Elephas maximus indicus: one gene and its partners. The protein of the gene in region 2 purifies or fractionates together with the protein of the main gene of each other region. This does not show direct contact. Links are inferred from orthologs where the notes say so. Each region holds a gene or a part of one and is shown on either strand. Other genes may lie near its edges.

Evidence for each region.
Region 1: the proteins of CHD3 (region 2) and BCL11B purify together in Homo sapiens (affinity purification with mass spectrometry; 3 studies listed by BioGRID and IntAct, with this or other methods). This does not show direct contact. The link is inferred for Elephas maximus indicus from reciprocal best matches to the Homo sapiens genes CHD3 and BCL11B.
Region 3: the proteins of CHD3 (region 2) and BCL11A purify together in Homo sapiens (affinity purification with mass spectrometry; 3 studies listed by BioGRID). This does not show direct contact. The link is inferred for Elephas maximus indicus from reciprocal best matches to the Homo sapiens genes CHD3 and BCL11A.
Region 4: the proteins of CHD3 (region 2) and ZNF512B purify together in Homo sapiens (affinity purification with mass spectrometry; 3 studies listed by BioGRID and IntAct, with this or other methods). This does not show direct contact. The link is inferred for Elephas maximus indicus from reciprocal best matches to the Homo sapiens genes CHD3 and ZNF512B.

Annotation. Positions count from the first base shown.
Region 1 is NC_064828.1:114,123,568-114,130,585, forward strand, and holds the start of BCL11B (B-cell lymphoma/leukemia 11B), read left to right. Parts: upstream 1-4,003; 5' UTR 4,004-4,073; coding exon of another isoform or gene 4,074-4,219; 5' UTR 4,220-4,876; coding exon of another isoform or gene 4,877-4,953; 5' UTR 4,954-4,996; coding exon 4,997-5,054; intron 5,055-7,018. Other genes in the region: basic salivary proline-rich protein 4-like, read right to left, coding at 1,541-1,848, 1,980-2,168, 2,296-3,013, 3,152-3,204, 4,074-4,219, 4,877-4,953. UniProt on the Homo sapiens protein: Key regulator of both differentiation and survival of T-lymphocytes during thymocyte development in mammals.
Region 2 is NC_064837.1:12,893,079-12,900,276, reverse strand, and holds the start of CHD3 (chromodomain-helicase-DNA-binding protein 3), read left to right. Parts: upstream 1-4,191; 5' UTR 4,192-4,206; coding exon 4,207-4,477; intron 4,478-4,556; exon of another isoform or gene 4,557-4,682; intron 4,683-7,198.
Region 3 is NC_064844.1:1,681,829-1,689,380, forward strand, and holds the start of BCL11A (B-cell lymphoma/leukemia 11A), read left to right. Parts: upstream 1-4,546; 5' UTR 4,547-4,604; intron 4,605-4,843; exon of another isoform or gene 4,844-5,082; 5' UTR 5,083-5,190; coding exon 5,191-5,245; intron 5,246-7,473; exon of another isoform or gene 7,474-7,474; coding exon of another isoform or gene 7,475-7,523; intron 7,524-7,552. UniProt on the Homo sapiens protein: Transcription factor. Associated with the BAF SWI/SNF chromatin remodeling complex. Binds to the 5'-TGACCA-3' sequence motif in regulatory regions of target genes, including a distal promoter of the HBG1 hemoglobin subunit gamma-1 gene.
Region 4 is NC_064843.1:4,145,405-4,152,342, forward strand, and holds the start of ZNF512B (zinc finger protein 512B), read left to right. Parts: upstream 1-3,926; 5' UTR 3,927-4,004; intron 4,005-5,779; 5' UTR 5,780-5,781; coding exon 5,782-5,905; intron 5,906-6,045; coding exon 6,046-6,188; intron 6,189-6,512; coding exon 6,513-6,641; intron 6,642-6,776; coding exon 6,777-6,938. Other genes in the region: SAMD10 (sterile alpha motif domain-containing protein 10), read left to right, coding at 1-36. UniProt on the Homo sapiens protein: Involved in transcriptional regulation by repressing gene expression. Associates with the nucleosome remodeling and histone deacetylase (NuRD) complex, which promotes transcriptional repression by histone deacetylation and nucleosome remodeling.

The DNA of each region.
Region 1 (7,018 bases), on a different chromosome or scaffold from region 2:
AAATAATTCTAGAAGATATGCTAGGAAGCCCAAAAGACCTCTTGTCTTCTTATGCCTCTGGATTTCATAGCTCCTACATATTCTTTAACAGCAAGGAAGGAGAAGAGGGCCCTCTTGGGAGCCTCATTAATATGTACATAAATATGATTTGGTTAGCGTCTCTGTTTCGGTTTCCTCGCAAGTTAGAACAAGTCCGTCCTGATCAGATTGATGAATTGTATTTATTCTCATCTTCAGTCGATAGTGTTTACAGATCCCAAAAAACAAAAATTAGCTGACATGATTTGTCTTTGGGTTTGCTCCAGACTTGTGAATACAAAGAGTCACCTTTTCTTGGCATGGATTTTTTTTTTTTTTTTTAAAGCACCAGAAAATAATGAAGCTCAAAGTAATTCGGGAAGATGCGCTGTTGAGCTTTTGTATTGGTACAAAGTTATCTGGCTGCATGTTGGGGGATGGATGCGTGTTTAAAAAAACAAAAATAAATGTCGACCTTATTTCTGCAGAAGCGCTGGAAGCCCGTTTCTACTGACACTGCTCTGTCATGATTCTTTCCAAATTTCTGTGAAGATGTGGTATGTACTGTAACAGCTCCAAAGGCAAAGACAACACTGTGGATTCTCTAACAGAGTCCAACCTCAGCTAAGGGGCAAGTATTGAGAATTGCTAAAAGAATTTTAATCAAAAAGTCTGGCTTTGGGTCACATGTCTGCTTAAAACTCCCCCCACTGCTTGGCGTGTTACACGTAGCACGTAAGGAAGTAGAACCCCACTCTAGGTTAGGAAAAATGAGCTCTGACTTGGTGAAATGATTTCTGATTTCTGAACTACTCCTTCGTACAGAAATTTAATGCGGCTGAGAATATGGCAGGCTATCTGCTGGAATGCACTGTGAAGCTAGAAAAAGACAAAAGTAGGGAAATATTTGTGAGTTCAAAAAAGTTTTTGACATCTGCCTTTTTTTCTTTTTTTAAGGTACCGCAGAGAATGTGTGTCCTTCCTCCCCCTCTCTGGTTCCTGTGTGCACGAAGCCCCCAGCTGTGCCCAGCACACAGTAGGCCTGCAGCAGGCACTTGGGAAATGAGTGCGAAGGATTGTTATTAGTTCAGGGCCACACTGGTGACTGCACTTTTTCTTCTTAGGTTTTCATATGTAAGATATGGACCCCCAAATGTGCACCCCCTTTTTGGGGTGGGGGTGACCTATCTTCTAAACGAAGGCTTGGTCTATCGAGGGGTGGGCTGGGATGCAGTGGCCTGCTCAGCGAGTACCGGATTCCCCCGCCTGCCTGAGTCCCTAAGGAAGGGGGGACCGGGCCGCGGGCCGAGCTCAGCCACCCCCCTCGCACCCCGCCCGCCCGCTGTCTCGGCATCAAGAGTGGGGAAACATTAGTGTGGCCCAGCTGCTGAAGCCGGGCGGAGTCGAGGGAGAGGTCAAGGTCGGCCGGGAGGCGGCTATTGATCCGGCTTGGAACGCGAGACAGGGAGCGCAGCAAGACTAAAGGGGGAGCTGTGAGACCAGACATTAACAGCTTTCTGCGCTAATGATGCCCGTGCCAGACGGGCAGAGGGAAAAGGAGGAGACTGGAGCGGCAGCTGGGATCGCTCGCTGCCTGCGCCCGGCAGCCTCGGGGAGAGGAGGCGGAGAAGGACGGCGAAGGGGCCAGCGCCGGCCCGGCCCGGCCGGGCCGCCTCTCACGGTCGCCGCGAGGTGGAGCGCGCCGGCGTGTCCGGCCCTGCGCCCGCCCGCCCGCTCGCGCGTCTTCTTCCCGCCGTCGGGGCAGCGCGGGGCCAATGAGGAAGTGTTCACTGCCCACCCCGGCCCGCGCCGCCCCCTGCCCGCCACTTCCTGCCGGGGGTGGGGCGAGGTGCCCCCTCCCCAGACCCCGCCGCCCTGGAGTCGCGCAGCTGCAGCTGGGGCACCTGAGCGCGCCTGCGGAGGGGCCGCCTTTCCTGAGGGGGAACCTCACTCTCCTTCACCGCAGAGGGGGTCCCGTTCCCTGTAATCCACCCGGGAGGGCGAGGGAGCGGGTGTCGGGATTTCGGCGCGGACAGTAGGCGGCGCAGGGCAGCAGGCACCTCCAGGGGATGTGAGTCCAACCCGGACCCCCACGCGCTGTGTGACCTTGGGCAAGACGCTAACCCTCTCTGGGCTGCACACTGCCGCGTCTCAGAAAGAGCGGGCTAATTGGTGTTCCAAACTTAAGAGTCTGGGCGAGTCGCGAAGGACGTTTTATGGTTTTCTTAAGAACTTTATTAAAGGTGCGTGTGGGCACTTTTTTCTTAGTTAGGCCACCTTCCTGGAACGATTTTTGCGGTGGGGCGGGATGGGAGGGCAGCGAGGCTCTTTTGGACTTTGGACCACGTGGAGGCTGGGGGGCAGCCGCCTGCAGCCCGGGAGGGGAGGTGCGATCCCGGAGCCCCTCACCCTGCATCTCCACCCCCTCAGGCTCTCGCGACGACCCCGCTGCCCACTGTCTGCAGAGATGCACGTGGGGGCACAGTTTTATTGCTGTTATTTGGGGGGGGGATGGGATGGGCAGGGAGCTCTCCCTGTTTTCGCTCTCGAGCACTGCGCTCTCGCTGCCGGCGCCCCACCCAAGACCTTTGGGGCGAACAAAAACTCCAGGTGCCCCTGGAGGGCGGGCCCCAAGGGAGGCGGTGCGCTCAGAGGCGGCGCGGCCGGGGGCGGGGTGGGGCGGGTGTCGTTGGCTCGCCCGCGAAGCCCAGCCCCGAGCCAGGCCCCGACCCGCCCTGGCCGCCTCTGGGCTGAGGCCAAGGGAGAGGGTCGAGCCGCGTGGCGCGCCCAGCTCGAAAAGGCCGCGGCCTGGGGAAGGGCAGGGCGGGTGTCCATCGGGACCGCGGCCTGGCCTTGTCCCCAGGCTACAGACAGGCCCCCACAGATCAAACGGCTGACGAGGCAGCTGCGTCCTTCCCAGTCTGGCGGACGATTTCATGTCCTGCCCTGAGCCGAGGATCGCGGGCTGGGGCGGAGGTGCCCCTTCCTTGTTGCACTAATTATCAAGGTTTGGGAGGGAGCCGGGGGACTCGGGGGGGTCACGCACCCCGGGAGCTGCAGCGATCCGGCCACACCTACCTCTGGGTCAGCACACTACAAGTTCGCCTCCCACTTGGCGCACCCCTGGCCTCACCCCCTCGCTCCCACAGATCTTGGCGTTGGGAGGGGGCGTGCTTGACCCGGGGACTAAGTGGAGGGAGGGCACAGACTAAGGTGAACGCTTCTTCCTGCCTGGAACCTGACGAGGTCTCGCGGCCCCCCAAACCCCCGCGTGCTCTTAATTCGTTCTTAGTAACTTTAGTATTGTCCACCTCTCTCCCAGTCTGTAATGAGGGTTTAAATGGAGACCCTTTATGGAACTTTAACCCTACCCCCAATAAAACAAAAAGTAAAAGCAATTCAACTACTTCTCCAGGGAGATGAAGCAATTGGCCATCTCCCCCAGTCTCCACGTGCACCCCAACCCTCTTCCACAATGCCCCTCCAAGCCAAAATAAGCTTTTAGGGGGCAGGGACTTGCATTGATCCAATTTACTCCTCGCACGCAGCACCCCGCCCCCCTTCCCTGGGGGTCCTGTTCCCAGGAGGAGAGGAGGGATATAGAGAAGGATTTGCTTCTAAAAAAAATATCCTGCCCACCGCCGGGGTGGGGGTGCTTTGCGCCTCTCGCGCACCGGGAAAAGAGGAAGGCACAAAAACGCGGTTTGCACGTGGGGTCGGCCTGGGCTGCGGGTGTGCGCACGGACGAGTGTCTGTGTGTGTGTGTGTGCGCGCGCGCGCGCGAGTGTCTTTCTGTGTGTGTGTGTGTGTGTGTGAGCTTTCTTGTTCTCTTGCAGGGTACAATGTTAAAAAGCCACCGCTAGTCGCCCCCAGTGCTCCGACTCTCTGGGTCTTTTTGTCTCTAGTGCAGATTAAACGTCACGTCCGCACTTGAACTTGAATTTTATCCCATTGTACAGAGGCAGCCCCAGCCATAGAGAGACCGAGAGCTCCCAGAGAACCCGGACTCCGCCATCTTCACGTTGCAATCTATAGCTCCCAGTCCGCGCCCGCACCGACCCAGGCGCACTGGGCGAGCCGCCCCTCCGCCCCGCTCCCCCCGGGCCCGCGGCGCCAGGGGAGCGCTGGGGAGCGCTCGCGGGGACCCGGCAGCTCCTGCGGCCGGCGCCAGCCTGCCAGGTGAACTGGGAAGGAGCCGCTCCTGGAGTCCCCCCAGAGCCTCCGAAGGGTCAGTCTCCGAGAAAAAAAAAAACAAAAAACAAAAAGCAGGCAGCCAGCAGAACACCCAGAAACCACCGAATCGGGGCAGTTTTACATTGCTTTGGGTTTTTTGAGGGGGCGGGGTGAAGGGGTACGAGACAAGTCCCCAAGTTTTCTCTGCTTTTTTTTTTCTTTTTCTTCTTTTATTATTTTTTATTTGTTTGCATTTTTTTTCTTTTTTTTTCCCCCTCCTGGTAGAAGTGCGTTCTCCACCTACCAGACCCTGAAGGAAAGTGTACGGAGCCGGTGCAAAATCCGGTTTAAGTTCAAGACGACATTTGGAAGTCCAAGAGGCCAAGCAGTCTGAAGAAGTCTAAGAGATTTTTTTCTTTCAAAAGAATATATTTTTAAAAGAAACCAGCCAGTCCGCGGCAAGCAACAGCAGTTTTTTTTTTTTTTTTGGCCTCTTTCTCCCATTTTAGATCGAGAGCCTTTTTTTCTTTTTGTTTTTCTTCTTTTTCTTTTTGCAAACAAAACAAAAAAAGCCTAGAAGAAAGAGCAAAATAAAGAAGAAGAGGAGGAGGAGGAAGAGAGGGCAAGAGAGGAAGGGGAAAAGAAAGAAAGAAAGAAAGAAAGAAAAAAACAACAACACACCAACCGGGCCGAGGAGGCGCGGCGGCGACGGTAGCGGCGCGGCGCGGCGGCGGCGGCTGAACCCCCTCCCCGGCTCCCCATCCGAGCAGCTCTCCGGGCTGATGCCAGAATAGATGCCGGGGCAATGTCCCGCCGCAAACAGGGCAACCCGCAGCACTTGTCCCAGAGGGAGCTCATCACCCGTAAGTGTCTGCGGCGTGCGCGCGAGGGGCCGGAGGTTGGGCTCCCGGCGCCCGAGGCTGGGGACTGCGGGCCGGGCCGGGCAGCGCCGGGGCTGCGCGCCGGCTCGCAGAGCAGTGGCGTCCGCCGGAGCACGGCGGGGAGCAGGGGACCATGCAAAGTTTCTTTGCAGCCCGGGAGTCGGGGCGCTGAGCAGCCGGACTCGCCGCGGGCTCGGGGGCCCTGGGAACGGGCGCCGGGCCGGGGAGGGGGCGCGCAGACTGGAGGAGGTCTGTGTGCGCGCCGGGCCCGCTGGACTCTCGCCCCTGCGAGCGGCGTGTGTGGCGGCGGCGGCGCTGGTGGCGGGGTTTGGAGAGGAGGGGGAGGGGGCTGGGGGAGCGGAGGGGGAGGGGGAGTCGGGGAGTCGGGAAGTGGGGAAAAGTTGGAGAGCGCGTGGGTCCGCGCTGATGGCGCGGGCGGCGGAGAGCGGGGAGCGCGCGGGACTGGGGGGACCGCGGGCCGGCCGGCGGTGAGGGCCCCGGTCGCTGCGCCCTGCCAGGCAGGGCGCCGGCCACGCCGGTCCGCGGATTCCGCAGCCGCCTTTCTCCTTCGCTCTCGGCGCTATTTGCAAACGAATCCAGCTGCGCGGCTGTTTGCCGGGCTCCAGCACCCCCCACCCCACCCCCACCCCACCCCACCCCCCGCATTTCCCCACCTCCGACTGTCTCCTGGGATGATCTTGTCTTCTTTCCCCCACTCCCAAAAAGGTGGGGGGATTGGGGCTGGTGAAAAATCCCCGCCACGGGGGGGGGAAAAAAAAGGTTGTCAGCTAGGAGTGGGAAGAGAAGGATGCGCTGGTAAAATAGTAAAAAAAAAAAAAAAAAAGCGAGCGAGAGCCCTATCAATCTCGTATCCATCTTTCCATCGCAGTATCTTTCATCTCCCTATCCAAATAAACAAGCAGGATGCCGTGGAAACCCACCGGCGGGAATCGCGCGGTTTTCCAGCAAGTGGCGGGGCGGGCAAAGTCAGGCAGCGGGGCAGAGACACAGCCGCTTCCAGAGCCCGGGTTGGGTGTAATTCAACCAGGAAACCAGCGAGCTCGAGCGGGCCAGGTGCCCTGTTTGCAAGGAGCCCAGGCCCCGCACAGCAGCGCGGGGAAGCTAGGCGCGCGGCGCTCCCCTCCGCGGCAGCCCGCGGCGCCGCTGCACGGCTGTGCGCGAGCCTTTCCCTGTTGTCCTGCTGTCGCGGTGCCTGCCTGGGTCGCCGTTGCTTATATATATATATATATATATATGTTTCTTTTATTGCAATAGAAATAAAACATCCTCTGGGTGCCATCGAGGTTGTGTGCTTGCAAGTCCTCCGCGCGCCTCGCTGGGCTGGGGCCGGGCTGCCCGCGCGGAGCTGGAGAGGGCTGCGCGCCCAGCCGCCGCCGAGGACTGGCTGCGAGCCGGCCGAGAGCCGAATATTTATGTTATATTTTAAAAAATTTAAATAAATAAATAAATATATAAAGGGGTTCTCCCCTCCCCTGAAAACCCGGCACAGGAGCCATCTGCTCGGAGCATTTGCTGTGGCCATATCTCTCCTTTGTTACAGCAGAGACGTTAGTAAGAATTTGTGGATTTATTTATTTTGGGGGGGGGGTAGATATTAAAGTGGGCTTTGGCTTGGGAGGAGAGGACTGCCTTTTTGGAGGAGGGAAGAGGAGTTGGCTTTTATTATTATTTTGTGCCATGGTAGACTCGGCTGGTAATATTTGAAACAAAATATTTTGCAACCAGATTGGGGATTTGATCAAGGTCTTTTTCTTCAGTCGATATTTCGTTCCTTTACCAAACTGGCCATGGCTTGGCCATGGCTTATCCTATGCCCCCCCCTTTTTTTTAGATGGTGGGGTGGTTGTTAAAACGTCTGTACTTGCAGACGCCTAATTTCTCCAGGAGGCAATTTGCCCCACTAGCCTCCGTATAATTGCAAGGGC
Region 2 (7,198 bases):
CTATGTCTGACAGCGCTCTCACATTTTTTCTCAATTAATACATACCTCAATGATGAAGAGACCAACAAGGGTGTAAGACAACTGTCTAAGAGGAATAGACTAGATTAGGAGAGAACAAGCCCTTCCTAAGTTCTTCTCAGATACTGGTATTAAAAGCATGAAACCAGCAACTAAAAATCAAAACCAAACCCACTGCCACAGAGATAATTCCAACTCATGGTGACCCCCACATGTTATAGAGTAGAAACTGCTCCATAGGATTTTCTTGGCTGTAGCCTTTATGGCAGCAGATTGCCAAGCCTTTCTTCTGTGGCACTGCTGGGTGGATCTGAACCACCAACCTTTAGGTTAATAGTTGAGTATAAACCATTTGCACTAGAAACTAGAATTCTACTAAAGTAGAATAAAAAAAGACAAGAGGCAAGAGATGGCAGTCCCCCTAAAGTAGGAAGGGATACTGACTGACAGAGGAATAAGCATGCCACTAAACTGGGAGGAGTACAGTGAAAAGCAAGTAAACTTGTGTGTTTGTGTGTATATTTTTCACTGGAAAAATGTCCATGAGATGTGAAATAGTGGCTGCCTCTGGGGAGAGGAACTGGAGGACTGAGGGAAAGGGATAGATGGGAGTCTTACTTTTCACAGTAAAGCTTTTATACTTTAAAAATTTTGTACCATGTGTATATACTACCTATTCAAACACTGACTAGAAAAACAAAGAAGAAAAAAGAAAAGCAAGCAGGATGTGGACAGCAAGAGCCAGCCAGGCAAAGGGTAAAAGGCAGGAAGACAGTGAAGATCCTAGGAGAATGGTGAAAAGACTGAGGCAGGCAGGCTAACTGCCTGGGTAGCCAAAAAGACAGACAGAAAGAGACAACTGAGAATGAAGGCAGGTGCTGAGAGAAGGCACGGTAGTGTACATGGCAAGAACACAGATAAAGAGTTTGGGGCCAGGGAGGAGAGACCATTACCATTGGTGGGGTGTTGGCATAGAGGGAACCAAGAGAGAAACAGCTGGTTAAGTGGAAAGTCTAAAAGACACAGGTATTAAACAGTGGGATACTAGCAGGCAAGTAGACAGACATAAAAGGGAGGTAAGGAAAAATCATGAACATAGCAAGTATAAATAAAAGAAGTGAATAGACAAAAAAGTAAGATAAGAGGCAAATGGAGATAGGGAACCATGGCAGGGCCTGGAAGGTAGATAAACCAAAAGAAGCAGGCTAAAAAAGTGATAGAGACAGGGAAGTGAGGAGACAGATGGCTAGAGAGAGTGTGGTGGGCAAACAGCCAGAGAAGCAGACAGACAACCAGAGAGAGAGAAAGAGGCTGCCAGCCAGTCAGGGAGGAGCAGACAGGCAGGCAGGCACCATGATAGGAGCAAGCAGGTAGAGAAGCAGATGGAAACCAGGATAGAAGAAGAAAAATCAAGAGGTCAATAGGAAGCAAGAACAGGAGAGAATACAGACTTGCAGAGCGGGGGAAGGACAGGGGAGAGAGAATCAGGCAAATTAACAGATCTGTATACAATGCCCACTCAAGGGACAGCAGGACTAATGTTTGTACAGAGATGCACACAGCCACCCAAAACCCATCTTTAGTCACCCACACCTGCAGATCATGGCACATGTGGCAAGCAGGCAGAGACACTCACCAAGGAGGGAGAGGGTCACAGAGCCAGAAAGGCTGCGATGCACATGATGCGCAGCGTGGCCCACACACACACGTGGAGACGTTCTTCCCAGACACAGTATGATCCACAGACTATCCATGAGGTAGGGCAGAAAGAGGAGAAAGCCAGGCACACGTGAGGAAGAGGCATACAAAGAGACCAGAAAACAGAAGGAAACAGAAGACAGAGATGGAAAGTCACTTAGAGGTGACAGAGCCTGAGAGTCCAAGGGATGAGAAACGGTCTTAGTGAAAAATAAAGACGTACATACAGAGAAGCCCATATACAGAAAGAGAGGGAAACCCAGATAGACTAGAACAGAGACTGAGAGAGAGGACAGAAGAACAAAATCTGGTAGAAGAATAGGAATTGGACTCAGTACAGGAATGATATGAAAGAAGCAAGAGAATTCCAAAGCTCATATTAAGAAAGGGATAGCAACTAATGCTCAATAAAGTGTGTTGGGGGTGGAACAAAGAATATTTTAGCCTCTTAAAAATTTGTGTATTATTCTCCATCACTAATACCTTCTGGTTGCTGCCTACCCGTCCCTCCCTCTTAGGTTGCTCCTGAGCACTGCAGAGGCTGAAGGGCTAGCAGCTCTACTTAACAGGTAGAAAAATAATCCAGAGAGAAATGATTCCACAGGCTTGGGGTGGAAGCAAGGAGCTAAGTGAAATCAAAAGGATGGGAGAAAACAAGAGTAAGAAAAAAGTGACAAGAATGAATAAGGGAAGAACTGAGCTATTTACCCTCCTTCTTTGCTAGCACTGCTTGTTGGTAGAAAAGGTACAAGTGTTCCACCTCCAACTGGCAAGTCTTGTTTTTTGTGTAGACCTTTCTGGTCAAGTCCCTGGAGGAGGACGCTACTTTTGGATTCCTTTCCAACCTTCCATCTGATTACTGGAACCATTTTATGATAAACACTGGAGTACAGGTGGAAATCATATGTTAGAAAGTCAGATGAAAACACCTGAATGTGACCCCCTACCTCTTTCTCTCAGTCCCAGTTACTTTTCTCTTTCACAGCACCTCAGTTTCATCCACTTTGTCAGTGTTGGAGATCGTGGAGGAAGGAAATGTACTGAAATGGGAGAAAAGAGAAAATAATTTCACAATCGTCAGACTTGACTCTTTCCCCTTTATTCTAAAAATCTGTTCTATTTACCCCAAATTAATTTCCTAAGTCAGATGAATTTTATATTCAATTAATGGCAGGGAGGGGGGAAAGGGGAAAAGAGTGAAGATAAAATTTACAGCAATTATAAATCACCGAAAAGGCTGGGCGAAAGGGAGAATCAAACATGGACTCCTTTGAAAAAAAACTCAATCATCATATCTATTCATATCTCTCTCCCAAAAGTCACTAGAATTTCTATCACTTTTTTTAAAGAAAGAAAAAAATTCAGTACCACTTCTCGCTTAAAAGATACGTACACGATTAAATGCATTCTGACTTCAATGAGGTATGCAGAAACAGATTTATATATAAACATATATTTCATCTTTTCCTTTTCAATGCCTGAAGGGGAAAAAAACCCTTCACATCAAACCACTCCCTTCTGAAGTATTCAGAAAAAAAAAAAAAAAAGCTTTTCTTTAGAGAAGGGAGGTGGGGAGGAAGAGACTAGTAAAGAAAAGAAAAAAAAATTAAATCTGGTTGGACTAGTATTTAACTAGTTAACCTTTAACAATTTATGCTGATGTCAGACTGAGCATGACTACTGATTAATGCCCCCCCTCAAATATTTTTTATAAGGGGTGAGTTAGTCACAGCAGCCATTTTTGTTTTATGCAGAAATCCTTCATGCCCCCCCAAAACACACACACACACACACATACACACAGTTCAGTACACAAGGAAAATATCTCTATTAATCTGTGCACTAATCAGTTATGAAAAAAGGGAGAAATTTCTGGGTTTCTGGGTAAAAGCTTGGAGATGGGGGTGTAACAGGGAGGAGAATGGGGGGGTGAAAAATGAAATATTAAGCCAGCCATTTTGTTTTAAAAGGGGATTTTTCCCCCTCTCCCTTTCTTCATGGAGGGGGTGGCGGTCCTGGAGGGGGGGTTGTTTTAAAAATAATTTCAAGGCGGCCATCTTAGTGCCTCAGCTCTGAGAAATATTTCTGAGCGCCCCCCTCAGAATTTAAATATATTTAAGGCAACGGAGAGGGGGGTAGAGAGAAGTCGAAAACTTTTATATATATATATATATATATAATTTTTTTTAATCCCCCTTTCTTGTTCTCTTGGGAGGAGAGAGGCAAAAAAGTCTCTCCTCTCCTGAAAATTTTCCAAGAAAATTTTTGGGGTGGTTTGGCCCCCCTCCTCAGACGGCGGCCCCGAGGGTGGGGGTTTTAGAGGGGGGTGGCCCGGGGGTTTTGGGGGCTGGGGGAGGCGGTGAGGAGGAGGACGCCGCCGCCGAGGAGGAGGAGGAGGAGGAGGAGGAGGAGGAGGTGGTGGTGGTGGTAGCGGTGGGGGAGGCGGGCGGGCGGTGGGTGGGGGGGTGGTGGGGGGGCCAGAGCCACAGGATGGCTTCCCCTCTGAGGGACGAAGAGGAGGAGGAGGAGGAGATGGTGGTGTCGGAGGAGGAAGAAGAGGAAGAAGAAGAGGGCGACGAGGAGGAGGAGGAGGTGGAGGCGGCCGACGAGGACGATGAGGAGTACGACGACGAGAGAGTACTCGGGCGCGGGCCGGACCACGACCGGGGCCGCGACCGCCACAACCCCCCCGGCTGCCACCTCTTCCCGCCGCCGCCGCCACCGCCGCCGCTGCCCCCGCCGCCGCCGCCCCCGCCTCCAGGTAAGCGGCCGCTTCGACCTCCCCCAGCCCCCAGCGGGAGCCGCGGGCGCGAGAGGCCGAGCGGGGGCGAGACACCCACCGCGCGGCCGAGGCGAGGTGAATCCGGGGCGCGGGGCGCCGTCTCGGGCCGATCGCCCCGCGGCGGTCCGACCGGGCGATCCGGGCGGCGGCGGGGCCAGGCCTCCTCCCCTCCCCCGCCGCACCCCTCCCCCGTCGCCGCCGCCGCCGCTGCCGCCGTCGCCCGGGCTGGAGAGCGCTGGGAGCGAGCTGCGCGCGCGGACCGGGCCACTTGGTCGCGGCTTTCGGGGGAGGAGGAGGAGGAGATTTTTTTTTTACCCTCGGCGGGGAGGGGGTAGGCAGGAAACGGCCGAGGCGAAGCCAGGGCCCCCTCCCTGGCCGAGCGAGGGACCGCGGAGACCCTGGCGGCCGGACGGCGGCGTGGGGGGGAGGGGCGCGTGGGGGAGGGGCGGCCGCGCGGGCGCCCCTCGGGCTTCGGCCCCGGTGGGGCTGGACTGAGGGAAAACTGGGTTTTCGCGAGTGGTGTTCTTAAGTCTCCCTCCCCTGAGGAGTTGGGAAGGCAGGGGGGATAATGGCGCCCATTGGACCCCCCCCCGAGTTGCGGAGACTTTTGTGTCCGCTTAGGGGCGTGCAGTGGCACGTGGGGAGGGGTCGTGGGCTATTCGTGGGCGGCTGAGGACTAGGGGCAGGTGGTGGCCACACTCCAAGCAGAACACTTCCCGGAATCAGACTTGATCCTTCCCCCCCTCCCCGCAACTTGTACTGGGGGGGCGGCGCCACTGAAGACTGGGGAGCGAGAACAGAGTGCAGGGGGAAACCGAAGTCCTCCCCCCAACTCCTCCCCCTTTGTCACTCCCCTGCCCTGGGCTCTTTTGTGTCAAGTGCGCCCCCCCATGACCCAGTCAGTCTGGGGTGGCCGAGCTGCCCAGCTGTGACTCTCACGTGGCTGCCGTTCCCTGTCACTCACTCTTCAGCTCAAACCGCCCGCACCCAGACCACGTTGGGGGGCGTGAACTGCCCACTCAGCTGTTCTGCAGCTTGACCATCACTCAGAACCTCTCCCTCGGGCTGACGAGTCACCCGGCACTTCTGGGTTGCTCCACCAGCCGTGGAGGGGACACACCGCTGCCTCGCTTCGGGCGCCCCGCCGGTGGGCCCACAAAGACCATCTTCTAGTTGGTTTATTTCTAGTCTTTTTATAGGATAGGTGAGCGAGGGCAGTGCTCACACTGCCTGCTTGGGAATTGAAAGGGGGGACATCCACACCCCCAGACCTCTGGGTGCCATGCAGCACAAATGCACCCAACTTCAAATTTTCTAACATCATTCTCTTCGTAAAACTGCCGTATTGATCTTTGTGCCATATGTGGCAAACTTTTCTGTCTTGCTGAGGCAACCTTTGAAGGAGGGAGTGTGGGGAGCTTTCTAAATTTGGGGGGGGGGTTGTGTCTAAGGGGAAAGAAAATAGTCTTTTTTTTTTTTTTTGCCTAGGCTTGTCTGAAAAAAGGAAAAGTTTTTTTTTTTTTAATGTTATTCTAGAGCCCCCACTGATTTTGCATGAGGGAAAGGAATAAAGAATTGGGGTAGGGGTTGCTTGGAAAACAGCAGAGGTGCTAAATAAAGGGAAAGAAAGGATGACAGGTTTAGTTAAGAAATTGGCAACTCTCACCTACTTGTATTCTGAATTTGGGTTGTGGTATTTGGGAGGTTTTGAACTCGGATATGGGTACGTGAGAGAGAGGAGCAGGAAGAATCTTAGGTTGAGGTGGGTCTTTGTGTCGATATTCCCTCCCCCTCTCCCTCTTTGCTTTCTGAATAGATATGTCAAATGCTTTTAAATTTTTATTTGAAATGAAAACCCGCCTCCCCTCTCTCCCAGGGCAATTTTATCTCCCTTTCAGCCCTCCAAGTCAAATGAGTGACCCAGATACACCCCCTCAGATGACTTTCTGAGGTAAAACTTTGAGAAAATATTTTTAGTCTGCTAATTATTTCTGTTTAAGTGTGGGGAAAATAATCCTCCTCTCAGGAAATTTGTTCAAGTTGTCCTCCCTCACCCTTTTCTAGAATATGAATTTTAGATATTAGAGGCTTGTATTGTTTTTCATTCTGACCGCTTTGGTTCTCACCATTTTGTTTTACATTCTTACCCAAGACCGATTTTATCCCTTCCCCCTCTTCTCCAGTCTCCTTACATTGTTAAACGTTTAAAATAATAGCACTCGTGTTGATGGGGGAAGGGAGCAGGAAGCCAAAAACTCGTTTCTTCTCCCTCCCCCTTCTGGTAAGTCTGGAGAAATAATATAACATAATATATAGATGTGATTCCTCGGAGGTGGGGGTGGGGAATGATTGTGGGTGGTGCGGAAAATTCTGGTAGTTTCTTTGCAAAAGGCCTGAAAATACAAACCCACCCCCTGCATGCAATACGCATGTGCAACAGACCTATTATGGTGGTTCGTTGTGGGGGAGGGAGGGGAATTTGAGAAAAAATAAATATATGTGTGAGAGATTGATGGTAGATTAGAAGAAGAGGGGGCGGGCGGGAGGCGAGGCTTTCCCAGAGACTCCGCCTCCTTTCTCTGACTGCCAGGCTCCGCCCCCCGCTCCTCGCCCGCCCCCCTCCCGCCCCGTCTTCCCCAGATCCGAGCCGGAGATGTGGGAGAGTCTGGGCTCCAGGCCAGCATTGAGTGGCTGGTGAGA
Region 3 (7,552 bases), on a different chromosome or scaffold from region 2:
CTTTCTTCCTCCCTCCCTTCCCTCCTTTCTCCCTTCCTTTCTTCCTCCCTCCCTTCCCTCCTTTCTCCCTCCCTCTCCTCCCTCCTTCCCTCCCTCCCTCCCTTCCCTCCTTCCCTTCTTCCTTCCCTCCTTCTTTCCCTCCCTCCTTTTTTTCCCACTGGTCCATCCAGAATGCAGCCTGCCAGCCAGCCAAAGGCCCAGAGCGCCTCTGGAGAAGGACGCTGGACCAACTGTTCCCTCAGGAAGCCCCCTGGGGGAAGTCTGTGCCTTTGCAGAAGGTGTAGACACTGCCCTCCAGGGGCCTCCCCAGGTCCCAGGCTCGGGTCACTCGGGGAGCAAAGGAGGAGGAAACGTCACGGGGGTGGGGCGCTGAGGGCGGCTGGGGGGAGAGCCACCCGCTTGCTCACAGCCGCTCCTCCTTTTTTATTATTTTCCCTTTGTCTTAACAAGTCCCTTAGCAAGTCCACCCCCAGGCACCCCAAATGCATCTACCAAGTGTAGAATCCAGATCTGAGCTTTATTTTTATAAAGATGAACGTACATTCTCTATTTTCCTGATCTGCCGATTAAGGGGGAAAAAAGATGAAATAAAAAGTAAGTTGGGATCGATTGTATTTTAATCATTCATTCATTTATTTATCTTTAAATCCATAAAGGTGTTTCCCCCTAAAGGCAGACAGTGAATATTTTATTTTAATCTTGTCATTTCCAGCGCGAGACAGACCTCTTAACCCTTGGTTCCCCAGCTTAGCCCGAGTGCCCAGCGCCAGGCGATCCTCCGCACCAGCGCTGGGACTGCGTTAAGCCTTCCTCATGGAGCTGTTTGTTGACCACATTCACGTTCAGAGCCCTGGAGCTAAAAGCACTTTACACCATAAAATAAAAGCACTGTCTTTTTTTTCTAAAAGGTTACGTCTGGAGGCCACGCGGCTCATACTTCATACCGAAAACTCCTGAAAGGACCATGAAACCCTCCTTGATTTACACTCTTGCACTGCATTAGAGAGCCGATCTGCTCGGCTCTAAAAAATACGGCGGGGTTTCTAACCGACGTGAATATATGTGCATTATTTCAGAAAGTCTGTTAGAAAACTTGTCAACACATTATAAAGCATAAACCAGGACTGGGCTATTAAGTGCGGAGATCAGAGGCAGGAAGTCCTGGGGAGTCTGCTCCGCCGGCGAGATAAAAAGGGGGAGGAGGGGAGGGCTTGTCTGCCGGCCTGGACTTTACGCAGCGTCGTCATCGAAGGTTGGGAAACAGCCCAAAGCGCGTCGTTACCTCCTCAGCGGACTCAGCAGAGGTTCTACAGCCCCGAACGGAGTTAACTGACCACCAGAAAATAATTTCAACGTTGTGGTAATTTATTACTTTTAAAAGCCACTTCTGGAAAGGTAAAATATACTTACTGTGTATCCAAAGTGCGCGCTTTTAACGTGACCTTTCACCCCCTCTACGAAACCACCTGCATCATTAATCAATACTTATGTAATATTTTTAAACCTCTTAAAACAACGCATGTTTTTTTCCTTTAAACACACCCACAATCTCCCCTCCCCCACTTTTGGGCGCTTTAGTGAGCTTCGAGCTGCGACGAGGAAAAGGGGCGTCGCCCGGAGGGGAGACGACTGGGGAGGGGGTTCCAGGAGCGATCAGATGCCTTCCCTCAGCCCTAGTTTTCTGGACTAGGTGAAATCTGGCTGGGGGAGGGGGTGGCAGCGGAGGGCAGAGTTTCCATTTCATCCTGGACATTTTATCATGGTGAAATCAAATGTATGTTGACGGTGGAAACCTCGCTGCCTACCTCTCCGTTGGTACCCAGGGAAAGCAGCTACAAAACTGGCTTTTTAATGCTATGTTTTAAGATGTGATTTCGGAAAGGACCCCCTGGAATCTGGAACAAGTTCAGTAACATAGCAGACCTACTTGTAACTAAGTGCTTAATCTCCTATGATTTTTTTAAAAGAGAAAATCAATAAAATGTTGCCAGTTATTTATAGGAAATAACCACAGATAGCGGCCCTGATGGGGTGCCGGTTTTAGAGAGCACCCAATTGTGTAATGAATTGTAATTCAGAAGACTGTTAAATGTGAACCACAGAACCTTTCAGAGGTAATAAACTCATTACTTTTTACACTACAGCCAACCCTGAAAAGCTTTATAAACACCATTCTATATAAATCATACATATATATTTCCCCAACACGCATTTGCCCATTTACGTACCTTCTCTACATATGGACTTTTATGGATGGATAGGAGCAATATTCAAATCTGAAATGCTCGATTCGGAAGGACTCTGGCTCACCATTGTTACCTGAAGGGGCTTTTACTTATTTTTCCAAGGCTTCCCAGTTACACTTTCTCCTTTCTTCACTTTCTAATATTCCTCCTCGCCGCCCTTCCCCGTCCCCCGCCCTACAGAGACATTCATTTGGTCATAAGGTTGGTTTAACAGACAAAAAACACCCGGTGGTGGGAGAAAGATGCTGAACTGCTCTGAAGAACTCACGGAAAAGAGGAAATGGTGTCACGCACACGCTACAGAGCCTTACTGCAAATGAGTCTTGCTTAAACAGGATTTGCGCTCCCCCCCGCTTTCTTAAACTGGAGGGAAACAGCAACAAACCGCATTTACACAAACCCACCTCAGCTCACACCCCTCATAACGTGGGGCATCCAAATCTCCTTTTTCTTCCTTGCGGAGACCTGAAGCGTCTTCAAGCTGGACAAGCGTCCTTTTCTAATAGGTTTGAAACTTTACTAAGATGACATAGGAATAAACAGCCGCTTGCCGGCGAGCCTGGGAGATGGGGGCGCGCTTGCCAGTCCAGGGCCCTTGCTTCAAACAACCCAACCCCCCCGCTGAGTGGGCGAATTTAAGGAGACGACACCCCTTAGAAGGAGGAGGGGGAAGAGAAGACCCGAGGGGTCGCGGGGCTGCTTGCGGGAGAGGGAAGGAAGGTTCCTTGCTTTGCAGCCACTCACACATGTCCACCTGCAGCTCGGAGTCTCGCGGGCAGCGGCGCCCGGCGTCCCCCTGCACTCTCCGCGCCAACCTTGGACTCGAGTCCATCCACACACCCCCACTCCCCAGCGTTTCCCGATTTGGAATCGGAGCGCCGTATCCGCGGCGGTGGCGGCGGCTGCAGGGTAGCGCAGGCAGGCGGGGAGGCTGGGAGGCGGGAGACGCCGGGGGACTTTGCAGGCACGTTTCGGAATAAACTTTCCAATCGCAGGGGGTGCTGTTGCTGTACATTTTACGTAAAACTGAAAGTATCCCATGCCAGAATGAAGCCCGCTTTTTGACAGCGGCAGCGTGTGTGAGTGTGTGTGTGTGCATGTGTGTGCGCGCGCGTATTAAAGAGACAGGGGCTTATTTCCAACAGGTCTTCCCTAATTTCCAGGGAATGTCTACAGAAAGACTAGAGGCGGCTGCGGGCTCCGAGGTGTGCGCCTTGGCCTGCGGCGCGCGAGAGCGCGGAGCTCGCCCAGAGCCGCTGGTCCCTCCGAGGCGGTCGCCCCTCCACTGTGGCCTCCCGGCTGCTCCCGCGAGCCCGCCGCTGTATCTCCATCCCCCATTTCCCTTTCCCCGGGTAACAGCACGGGAATAGTTGTGCTCTGCCCGTAAGCAGTACTTTCTTTCCATCCCTCTGTGCCTTTGCGGTGGGTCTGGAGCGGGAGGGGGTGTGTACCTCCTCGGGACCCGGCTCCGGGGCCTCTCGCGGCGCGGGGAGCGCGCTCCCAGCCCTCCCGGGACTGCCCGCGCTTTGTCCTCCTGCTCACGGCCGCCAGGAGAGGTGGACGCCTCCCCGGCCCCGGCCCTCGGTACTCCCGTCTTGGGGCTGGAATGCGCTCGGACTCTGGTTCCTCGTTCTTTATTCCGCGGCCCCTCTCTCACTCCGGGGTTCTGGGGAGCCTCGACTCCGCGCTTCCAGTTCATTCAAACCCAGTCGGTAGTCCAGGCGCTCAAATCCCCGGCCCCCGGCTCGGCCTCGGGGCGCCCTCCCGGCGCTCCTGCCCCGGCCTGCGCCGCTCGCCGCCTCCCTCGCCCTGGCCCCCTCCATCGAGACCGTCCGGGTTCGGGGAGGCCCCGACACTGCCCTTCCGGCCCGCGAGCCTCCAAACTTGGGCTGGACTCCGCTCCGCGCGCGCTCCCTCCCGCCTCCCCTCGCCCGCTGCGGCGCTGTAACTTGGAGGCTCAGCTCTAACTTCGGGTGATTTTCTTGGCTTTCCTCTCCTCGGGCAAAGTTTCCCGAGCGCAGCCGCGGGCTCCGGGCTTCCACTCCTGGCCCGGGTGTCCGCACACGGGGAGTGAGCGCGCCGGCTGCGGCGGCGGGGAGGGGAAGTGGGTGTGCGCACGGCGGAGGGGGGCCGGGAGCAACTCTACCTGCTTCCCTCCGCCCGCGCTTCTCCGGCCGCAGCCTGCAGCCCTCCGAGCACTCTTGCCTTTTTTTTTTTTTTTTTTTTAAATAATCTCTCATTTTAGGGTCCCAGTGGGGGGGGGGGAGCAGGACGCCCGCCTTGCTCCCCCCCCCGCCCCTGCCGCCCCTTTCTTCTCTCCCGGCCACGCCGCGGCTGCTGCGCTCGCTGCGGCCACTGGTGAGCCCGCGGCCCCGGCGCCCCCTCCCCTCCCCTCCGCCCGCCCCTCCCTCGGGGGCCGCGTCTGGCGTCTGCCGAGCCCCCCGCCCGCGCCTCCCCCGCCCCGCACTGGCCATTGGCTTGTCCTGGTCTCTTTTTCATGTCCAGCCCCTGATGTGTGTCCATTGGTGTGCGCTTCCCCTTCCCTCCTCCCCTTCTCTCCTGCTCGCCCTGCCCATGTTTTGTGTGTCTCTGTCCATCCAGACTCCTGACGTTCAAGTTCGCAGGGACGTCACGTCCGCACTTGAACTTGCAGCTCAGGGGGGCTTTTGCCATTTTTTTTCATCTCTCTCTCTCCCTCTATCTCTCCTCTCTCTCTCTCCTTTTTTTTTTTTTTTTTTGCTTAAAAAAAAAAAAAAAAAGCCATGACGGCTCTCCCACAATTCATCTTCCCTGCGCCATCTTTGTATTATTTCTAATTTATTTTGGATGTCAAAAGGCACTGATGAAGATATTTTCTCTGGAGTCTCCTTCTTTCTAACCCGGCTCTCCCGATGTGAACCGAGCCGTCGTCCGCCCGCCGCCGCCGCCCGCCCCGCAGCCCAACATGTCTCGCCGCAAGCAAGGCAAACCCCAGCACTTAAGCAAACGGGAATTCTCGCGTAAGTAACCCAATAATAGTAATAATAATTATTAATAATCACGAGAGCGCGCAGGACGAGCCGCAAGAGCGAGGGGGGAGAGGGGTGTGTGCGTGCATTTTTTATTTTCACGAGGAAACCTCCGAGAGTCGGAGTAAAAGAGATTAAAGGAAAAGGAAAAAAAAAAAAAAAAGAAAGAAAGAAACCTCGTCCCGTCTCGCACCTTAGCCGCGTGTGCACTTTTGGGATAGCATTCACCTTTTAATTTTATTTAATTAAAAAAGAAAGTCACCCCTCCTCTTACCTCCTTTCCGCTGCTTTATTTCTCTTGTCGAAAAGGAATGCGGTGGTTTTACCCCCCAGTTTTGCAAAATAATGAACAATGCTAAGGATGCGAACAACTCACGCGCCAGCCTGGGGGAGGGAGTCGGCGGGGAAAGGAGGGTGGCTTCCACTCCCCGCAGGAAAACGGGGTGTGGGGGGGGTCCCAGCCTACAAACCAATGCCGGGGGAGAAGAGGCGAGCCGGCCCTCGGACGCCGGCGCGCTCGCGGGCCGGCGTGACCCGGGAGGAAAGTAGGCTTCCCCGCCAGCGTCAGCCAGGGCATGCGGGAGGGGGCCGCGGCGCCGGGGAGAGCTGGGGAGCCGGGGAGAACGCCAGCCGCGGCCGGCGCTGCCGCCTTTTGTTCCGGCCCGAGGTGGGTGTTTGTCCCGCTGCCTTTTGTGCCAGCTCCTCGCGCTGGCCCTCCCGCGCCGCCGCTGTGGCCGAAGGGCCGGGGCCCGGGCCGGGGGCGCGCGGGAGAGGGAGGGAGGGCCCCGGGGTGGCCGCCCGGCTCGCCGCTGCCTTCCCCTCCCGGCCGAGCCTCCGAGGCGGCGAGGGGTAGACATGCAAAAGATAAAGACAGTTAAATTGAACGAGGCAAGAGAACGTAAAATTTCTTGCCCCAAAAAGCAGAAGCCAAGCGCTCCGCCAGCCCTCGACTGCAATGCTCTCCACTTTGACTTCCCCACCCCCCCCGCAAAAATCTCACCATCTCCAACCGAGAAAAAAAAATTACAATCACCCCCTTCCCCAAACCCCTTCACTCGCAGACTTAGAGCGCCGGCGGCACTGAGACGGAGCGAGGAACTCCCTCCTCTTACTATTTTTTGGAAGATTTTCAAAAAAAGTGGAAGTGGATTTTGATTGGGAAAAATCTCGTGTCTGAATGTTTACAAGCACCGCGTGTGCGGGAGCCTCCTGCCAACAAACAGACAGAGGACCGAGCGCAGCGCCGCGGCCTCAGAGCGGGCGGCGGCGGCGGCGGCCGGGCCTGGCCGGGGCCTCGCTGGGCCTCGGCGCGCCCCGGCCCCTCCCGGGATCGCCCACCCGGCGCCCGGCGCCCGCCCTCCGGGCACGGCGGCAGGCCACGCTGAGACTGCGCCAGCAGGGCCCCAGGTCCCCGCCCGCCCCCAGCACAATGCCCAGACCTCCTCCCGGCTTCCCCGACTGCGAAACCCGCTGGGGAGAAACTCGGCTTTGCAAAGCATTTTTATTCTGCAAAGCAACTGAAAAAGCTTGTTTCTGCGTGCGCCCCCTGCCCTCGGCTGTACCCCCAGAGGTCTCTTGTCCACCGCTCTCGGCCGCGGGGAGGGGGTGGAGGTCACCACGTGCATTCGCTTCCTCCCCCGACTCCCACCCCGGGTCTGGCCACCAGGTCCCTGTGCCGGAGCGGGGCCAGGCCCGGGCTGGGGCGGGGTGAGGTGGGGGAGGACTACGGAGAACTCTGGTCGGGTATGCCTTTGCGGGGCTCTATTCCGGGACCTCGCGTCCTTCACCTTTGGGTTCTTGCCCACTTCCTGGGCCTGACTTTGTCTGGGGTCCTTGTGAGTCTTTATAAGGCGGGGGGAGGGGGGGTCCCAGCTAACTGAATGCTCCTGTGAGGTAGTGGGTACTTAGGAAAGTTTGGCAGCGAGGGAAAGAAAGGCACGAGAAGGCCAGTTCTCTCCTCTCCATGACTCCCATTTTAATTTTTGATACAATTTTTAAAGGTCCACTTATACCCAGTCATGTATTTTTTGATGGGGTGGGGGCGCGCACAGGGAATTGCATTTTTCACTGGGCCCTGAAACTTGTCATACACTTCGGAAGCTCCCCCGCTCTCCTCCCCCCTCCCCAGCCCAAGCACGTTGCGGGGCCCTCCCTCTCCCCACCCCCGCGCATCCCTCCCTCGCCTCTCTCCCCCGCCCCCTACTCCCCCGGCCGCGCCGGATGCGGAGCAGACGCGGCGCGCGGCGGTGTGAAGTTACAGCCCGGCCAGGTACGGGCGGGAAGGAAGGGCAGAGTGCG
Region 4 (6,938 bases), on a different chromosome or scaffold from region 2:
GCTGCCGAGGCTGGACTCCAGACCCCAGCACTGTGACCAGGACAAGGCAGAGCCAGCCACATGGCCTCTCTGGACTCTGGGGATGCCTCAGGGGACAGGCTGAGCCAGGAGCACTACCCCACCTGCCTTGGCTGGGCACTCAGAACTGTGGGGGCCTCCTGCAGGGACCTGGGTCAAGAGACCAGGCCCTGGTGCTGCTGGCAGTGTGCAGACAGCACTGGGAGCCACAGGGGCCCCCAAGGAGGCTATTTATATTCCCCTCACCCAATGATGACCATCCCCCTTCCTGCTGAGCCCCATCCTGGGGTGTCCCCACCCTCTCCCAAGGTGAGGTCTGTCTCTCCGCCCCCCACAGTCCTGGGCCCTTACCCAAGATGGATAGACTGTGGCTGCCGCCTCTGTGGACCCCCACACCCAGGTCCCGGCCAGCCCCATCCACACCTAGATGGGTTGGCACTGTGTCAGTCACTCTCACATACCCCCTAAGAAGCCCCTCGCCGCCCCCCCCAACCCGCCCCAGCACATGCAGAAACCAAGGCCACAGGTCCAGGGAGTGCTCCAGACCACTGGAAAGTGGCAAACAGAGACCCAGGTTGCCATGACGCCACACCCAGCTACTAGGGGCCAAGGCCAAATGCCCCCACTCCCTATATTCATAGAGGCTTCTTTGGGCACCATCAGGGTAGGCATTCCCCAGCCCTTCCCAGGGAAACCTGGATTCCCACAGAAGTCATCCGCTGCCCCAGGACCTGGCCTGGGCCTGGTGGTTTGGGGCTGGTGCTGCCTGGCAGAGGGACAGCCAGGGGCAGGGGGCTTTGGCAGCCCCACCACCTACTCCCCTGCCCTCTCCCATGCCCCTCGGGGACTCTGAAAATCTCAGGGATGATGAGGCTGAGTCCCTAAGCCCCCTCCCGTGTGCCCTGAGCTGGCCTTGGGATCAGAGGCTGGTCATCCAGGCCCAGAGGGCCTCCATCCTGCCGTGTCTCTGCCATGGGGAGCCGTTTTTCCTGTCCCCAGGGCCCTCGTGTCTCCATCCCCTTCTCCCTCCTCTGTCATGCCCCCCATGTGCTCCTGTCTCATCTCCCTTGTTCTGTGCTCACTTTTTTTTTATATCCTGACAAAAAATCAGAAATAAACCTGAGTCTCAAGTGGCCATGAGTCTACCATCTGGGAAGGGACCTGCCCGGCCACCTCCAGCCGCGGCCACCAGGGGGCAGCGGTACCACATCGGTCAACGGGGCGGCATCCACGGAGGCTGAAAGACAGCTCCAGGCCGGCCTGCACCCCAACGTGGAACACCGCGAAGTGGCAGGGTTCTGAGGATGCGGTGGCCCAGATGGGGGCATAGGCTCCCTGGGTTACCATGCAAATAACCACGCGCTGGCACCTGAAATAACAGCAGTTTATTTCTCTCACAGCTCTGAAGGCAGAATCTGAGGGAGAAGCCTCCTGGCCTTTCCAGGCTCGCCACGGCTCTGGCAGTCCTGGTAGACACGTCACCCCTCTCTGCCTCAGGTGGCCTTCTCCTTTGTGTCCCCTCTGTCTTATAGGGACACTTAGTGCTGTATTTAGGGCCCACCCGGATAATCCAGGATGATTTCCTCAAGAGCCATCACTTAATCATAGCTGCAAAAAGACCCTTTTTCCAAATAAGGTCGCCTTCACAGGTCCCAGGGGTTTGATGTAGGTATCTTTTGGGGGGCGTTTTCCACCCTTCTACACAGGGCAACACCCTGACAGAAGAAGCACATGGGTCATACAACATCCCCCAACACAGCAGCCAGACATCTCACAAACAGCAACACTGAGGTGTAGGCCCGCACATCTCAGTCTGGGCACACAGATACTGACACAGAGACACCATGGCACAAGGAGCCAGGCCCACACGGCACACCCAACACACAGGCACACAATGCACTGACATACACGGGAATGTAACCGTACCCCACAAACACAGACATAGCCACCCAAACACGCAACTATTAACACACAGACACACAATGACATTCAGAAACACAGAGTGCAGCACACTCGGGATACAAACACAAATTCCACAACCCTGACATCTAGACACACACAGATAAACAGTCCGTCCCCCTACACACAGTGCCCAGGCACAGTATTAACACACAGACAGAAACTAGCCCTTGACATCCAACACACCACAGCCTGGACACACATAGTTACACATGCACATATGGTCACACACATATCCCCTGACATCCAGACACAAACACCACAGCCTGGACACAGATGTGCTGGGAATCCAACCTATTGCATACACAGACACACACACACACACTTTGGCCTCCAGACAGCTGGATACTAACAGACATTGTTCTCCTCTAGTACAGGACACACAGACACCCCAATATGGATACTGCTGGATACAGACCATGACACTGATACACAGTGACAGGTGGTGGACACACACCCACTACAGACACAGATGCCAACACATGTCACCTACAGGGACACACAATGAAAGCTGACAACCTGCACGCTCCTCAGGAGCCACACAGTGACCCAACTTTCGAACATAGGACTGTCCCTGAGGTCTGCACAGGTCATGTACACTGGCTTCTCCTCCTGGCCCTATATTTCCAATCACAAACACTGGTCTCTCCCCCGGCCCCAGATTTCCAAGGGAAGGCAGGAAGAGCTGACCCTGCCCCCCACCCCCCCCCCACCTCCAGCTCTGCTTTCCTCCAGCCTGCTCAGGCTTGAGGGCTGTGTGGCCTGAGAGAAGTGTGTCTGAAGGGCCCGTTTGAGAAGAGGCTGGCCCCACTTTTGCCAGGGCTTCTCTGCCTGCCCCCACAAGTCAGCACCTGCTCCAGGTGGGTGGGGAGGGGGGCAGGGCTGCAGAGAAGGAGGTGCACCTCGTCTTCTGTTTCCCAACCAGCGACTACCAGCTCGCAACAACTTGAGGGGTCCAAAATACTTGCAGAATGTAAAAAGGGACATTAAAAAAAAATTAAACTCAGTTTTAATTGTAAAAGTAATAGATGCCCAGAGATTTAAAAGAAAAAAAAAAAAAGGCTCGAACAGTATTAAGGGGCACAAAATGAAAACCCAAAGTCTCACTGTCTTCCCTCTCGGCCACAGGTACCCTACCTCCAGGTGGGCTCTGTGAGCAGGTAAGGATAGTGCTCCAGGGGAAGGTGCACCTTATCCCTCCCCACTTCCTGTGGAGCCCCCAGGGTGGCCCTCCTCCTCCCCAGCCAGCTCCGATGGGGCCCTGAGGTTCATCCCCAGACCCCACACCAGCATTCCCTGCAGAGGTCTCTGGTCTGGGGAACAGTTGAGCAAGGGACTGACCGCTTGCCTGGGACCATCCCCAAGGTAGGCAAGACGCTGGTCCAAAGGTAATGATGCCCAGTAAAGCCCCATGGCCTTAAGCAGGCAGGGACACTGCCAGGCCACCTTTGATGGTGGCCAGAGTCATGGAAGTGGCAGAACACAGGCCTGATTCTGTCCTGCTGGCCCTTCTGCCAAGGCCCCTGAGGGTCAGGTCAGGGTCCTGTGCACTGTGACCGCCACTGCCCCACCCTCTCCGAGCCCAGGAGGCGAGAGGCTGCTCACCTCAATCCGTAGGCACTGGGGTTGGGGCAGTACCCAGCGCCCCTGTCGTACCTCAGTTTACCCCACTGCCCCCAAAACGCCTCCCGCCCTATAGGTAGCATGACTAGCTGACCACTTTGCACCCAAGGCGGGGCTTGAGGATCCGCGACAGTCCCCGAGCAAGGCAGAGCCAGCCGGCGCGCGGGAGCTCCCCGCCCCCCGCAACCCCCGGGCCCGGCTCGCCCCCTCCCCGTCGCGGAGCGACTGCAGGAATACCGCGAGAGTTCGCCCCCTTCCCCCCCCAACAGTAAAACTGTCAAAGGTGGGAGGGGCGGGAGCGCGCATGTGCGCAGCGCGGCGCGCAGCCTGCGCCGCCCGAGCCACGGTCCCGCGCCTGCTCTCCGCGCCCCGGCCCCGGCCCGCGCCCTGCCGGGCCGCCGCAGGTAACCGTCCTGGCCTGTTTCCCCACCCTGCTCCGGCAGCAGCCCCAGCCGGCTGCGCCCCGACCCCGACCTCGCGCGGCCCAGGCGGGGCCGACCCAAGCCCCAGCCGCCGGCCCCCGTTGCTGCCCGGACCCCGCGCCGGCCCCGCGCCCCGCGCACCGCGCCGTGCGCCGCGCTCCTGCTCCTCCTTCTCCAGAAAAAGTCGCCATTTTGGTTCACTGCCTTCGGGCCCCCCTTCCCCCGCCCCAGCTACCCGCGATTGTCCCTTCCGGGGCCAGGCCAGGGCCCGCGCCCCTCGCCCCGCGCCCCGCGGCCGCCCAGGGCTGCAGGTGACAGGTGGGTGGGTGGCGAGGCCTAGCTGCCAGGTGCGCGTCTCTGGCAGGCCTTATCCGCGCGCCTGGGCTGGGGTCTGCCTCGCGCCGATGTTCTGCTGCCGGCTTGCTGTGGCCCGTGCCAACAGGGCTCCCCCCGGTGGGTCCCGCAGCCCTGACCCTACTAGGCGTGGTGGGAGGGTGGAAACGCCTACTCGTCCTGGTGCGGGAGTCATAAGCCGGGGCGGAAGGAGGGGTGTCGGCCTCCCAGGCCAATCCTGGCCCCAGCCCCCTGGACTCCAGGCCTGGTCAGGCTAGGGAAAGATTGAAAAGCAGGGGCCTGGTCTGCACGCACACCATGGCCATCGGGTCATCGCTGCCTGGGTGACTGTAGGAAGTTGAAGCATGAGAACTCCCAGAGAAGTTTGTTTGGGTGTCCTCGACCTCTTCCTCCATCCAGGCCCAGGATATGGGTGTCCCCCTTAGAATGGACCGGGGCTGCCCAGGCTGGTCCTCTGGCCTCAGCCTGCCCGAATCACCCCCTTCTGTCGCTTTGGGTCTTCCTGTTGGAGGACTCGACAGGGCTGGGCTCAGAGTCCCATGTCCACCCTCATTTCTTGAGGCGTGGGGTCCCCCAACCTGGTTGGAATAGGCCCAGGGAGGCCCGGCCACGGGCAGCAGGGGCCCCCTCTGGCACAAAACCGGTGGGCTCCAGATGCTGGGCTTAGCTGCCTGTGCTCACTGGCTGGTGGAGCTGAAGCTGTGCTGGTGGACCCAAGGCAGGGGACCAGGGATTCCTCAGGTGGAGGTGAAGGGGGCGAGGTGCCAGCACCGGCCTCTGCCTGGTTGGCGGGACCTACTGGAATGTGAGCGAGGGGCCTGTGGATCCTTGGTCTGCCTTCCGGGAGGGATTGGGGGCCCTCAGCGCCCAGCTTGGCAGTCTTCCAACTGTGTCCTGGGCAGATGGATTCGAGGTGCCCACTGGGTAGGTTGGGACTATCTGGGTCCGGGTGGGGCAGGGTTTGGCCGTGGGCTGCAAGGTGGTGCCCCCAGGTGAGCCAGCAGCCCGCCACTGGTGTCTTATATGGCCCCCGGGAGGAGTGTCGTCTGACTCCTTGGTCCTGGGTGTGGGCTGCATGCTTCCCAGCATACATCTGGGAACAGAGGGAGCCCGCGGCCAGCACGGGGCTAGGGGGCAGCAGACTAGGCCTTTCAGGCTTATCGTTTCTCCAGGATTGTCCAGAGACCTTAGCGGGGCAGCCCTTCCCCAGAGTTGGAAGCCCCTGTCAACCCCCCTCCCCACTGCTCCCAGAGATCAGCCCTGTCTGAGGGCAAGGACAGAGGGCAGGCTGCGGCCCCTCCTGTGTCCTGAGTCAGGACAGTGCTAAATGGTCCAGGAGAGCCTGCAGGATGTGGTGGGTCTTGGGTCCCTGGGCCTCACTGGTCTGAACCCTTGCTCTGCAGCTATGACCGACCCCTTCTGTGTGGGTGGAGGCCGCCGGCTCCCAGGGTCCAGCAAGAGTGGATCTGGGAAGGATCCAGGCCGAACTGAGGTTCTGCCTCCAGTGCTGCATGACCCACCCAAGCTCGGTAAGAGGCACCATGAGCAAGGCAGGGGCCTTCCTGGCGTGGGGGTATGTCTTAGAGAGGGAGGGGCCTGGGTGTGGATGGACACCTATGGGCCTGCCCAGCCCCTGCAGCCCCTGAGCCTGGTGTGTTGTGTGCCACAGGAATGCCAGTGGTCCGAAGTGGGCAGACTGTGCCCAGCCAGGCCCCACTGTGCTTCGACCCAGGAAGTCCAGCCAGCGACAGAACAGAAGGGAAAAAGAAGGGGCGGCCGAAAGCCGAGAACCAGGCTCTCAGAGACATTCCCGTGAGCTCCTCAGGGCCGGGGTGGGGCTCACAAGGGTCTGCCGTCCAGGCTGCTGCCTGCCTCTCGGCCGCATTAGTTGGCGGCCCAGTGCTGGCCAGACAGGCCTTCACTATGTGGTCTCAAGCCCCTGCCTTTGATGTGGCTGCCGGGAGGACACATTGGACCAGGTGTGGGCACCTAGGACAGGTCCAGCACAGGGCTGCTGCTCGGGGGGGTGGCTACTTCTTGCCATCATCCCAAGGTCGAGGGCATGGTGTTTGGGGCTTGGGTTGGGTGGAAGTTGCCACTGAGGGGGTCAGCAGCCTGGCCTTGCCTACCCCCCAGCTCTCCCTGATGAACCAGTGGAAGGATGAATTCAAGGCCCACTCGAGGGTGAAGTGTCCAAACTCGGGGTGCTGGCTGGAGTTCCCCAGCATCTATGGCCTCAAGTACCATTACCAGCGGTGCCAAGGGGTAAGGGACGTCTGGTTGGGGACAAGGAGGCCTGGGCCTACCTGCCTGCGCTGTCAGCATTGTCTCCTGCATACTGGGTGGTGTCTGGGCGGCCCTTCTAGGCAGACCCTGCTCATATCTGCCCTTCCCACTCAGGGTGCCATCTCAGAAAGGCTGACTTTCCCCTGCCCCTTCTGCGAGGCTGCATTCACCTCCAAGACCCAGCTGGAGAAGCACCGGATTTGGAACCACATGGACCGACCCCTGCCTGCTCCCAAGCCTGGGCCAGTCAGCCGGCCGGTCACCATCAGCCGGCCT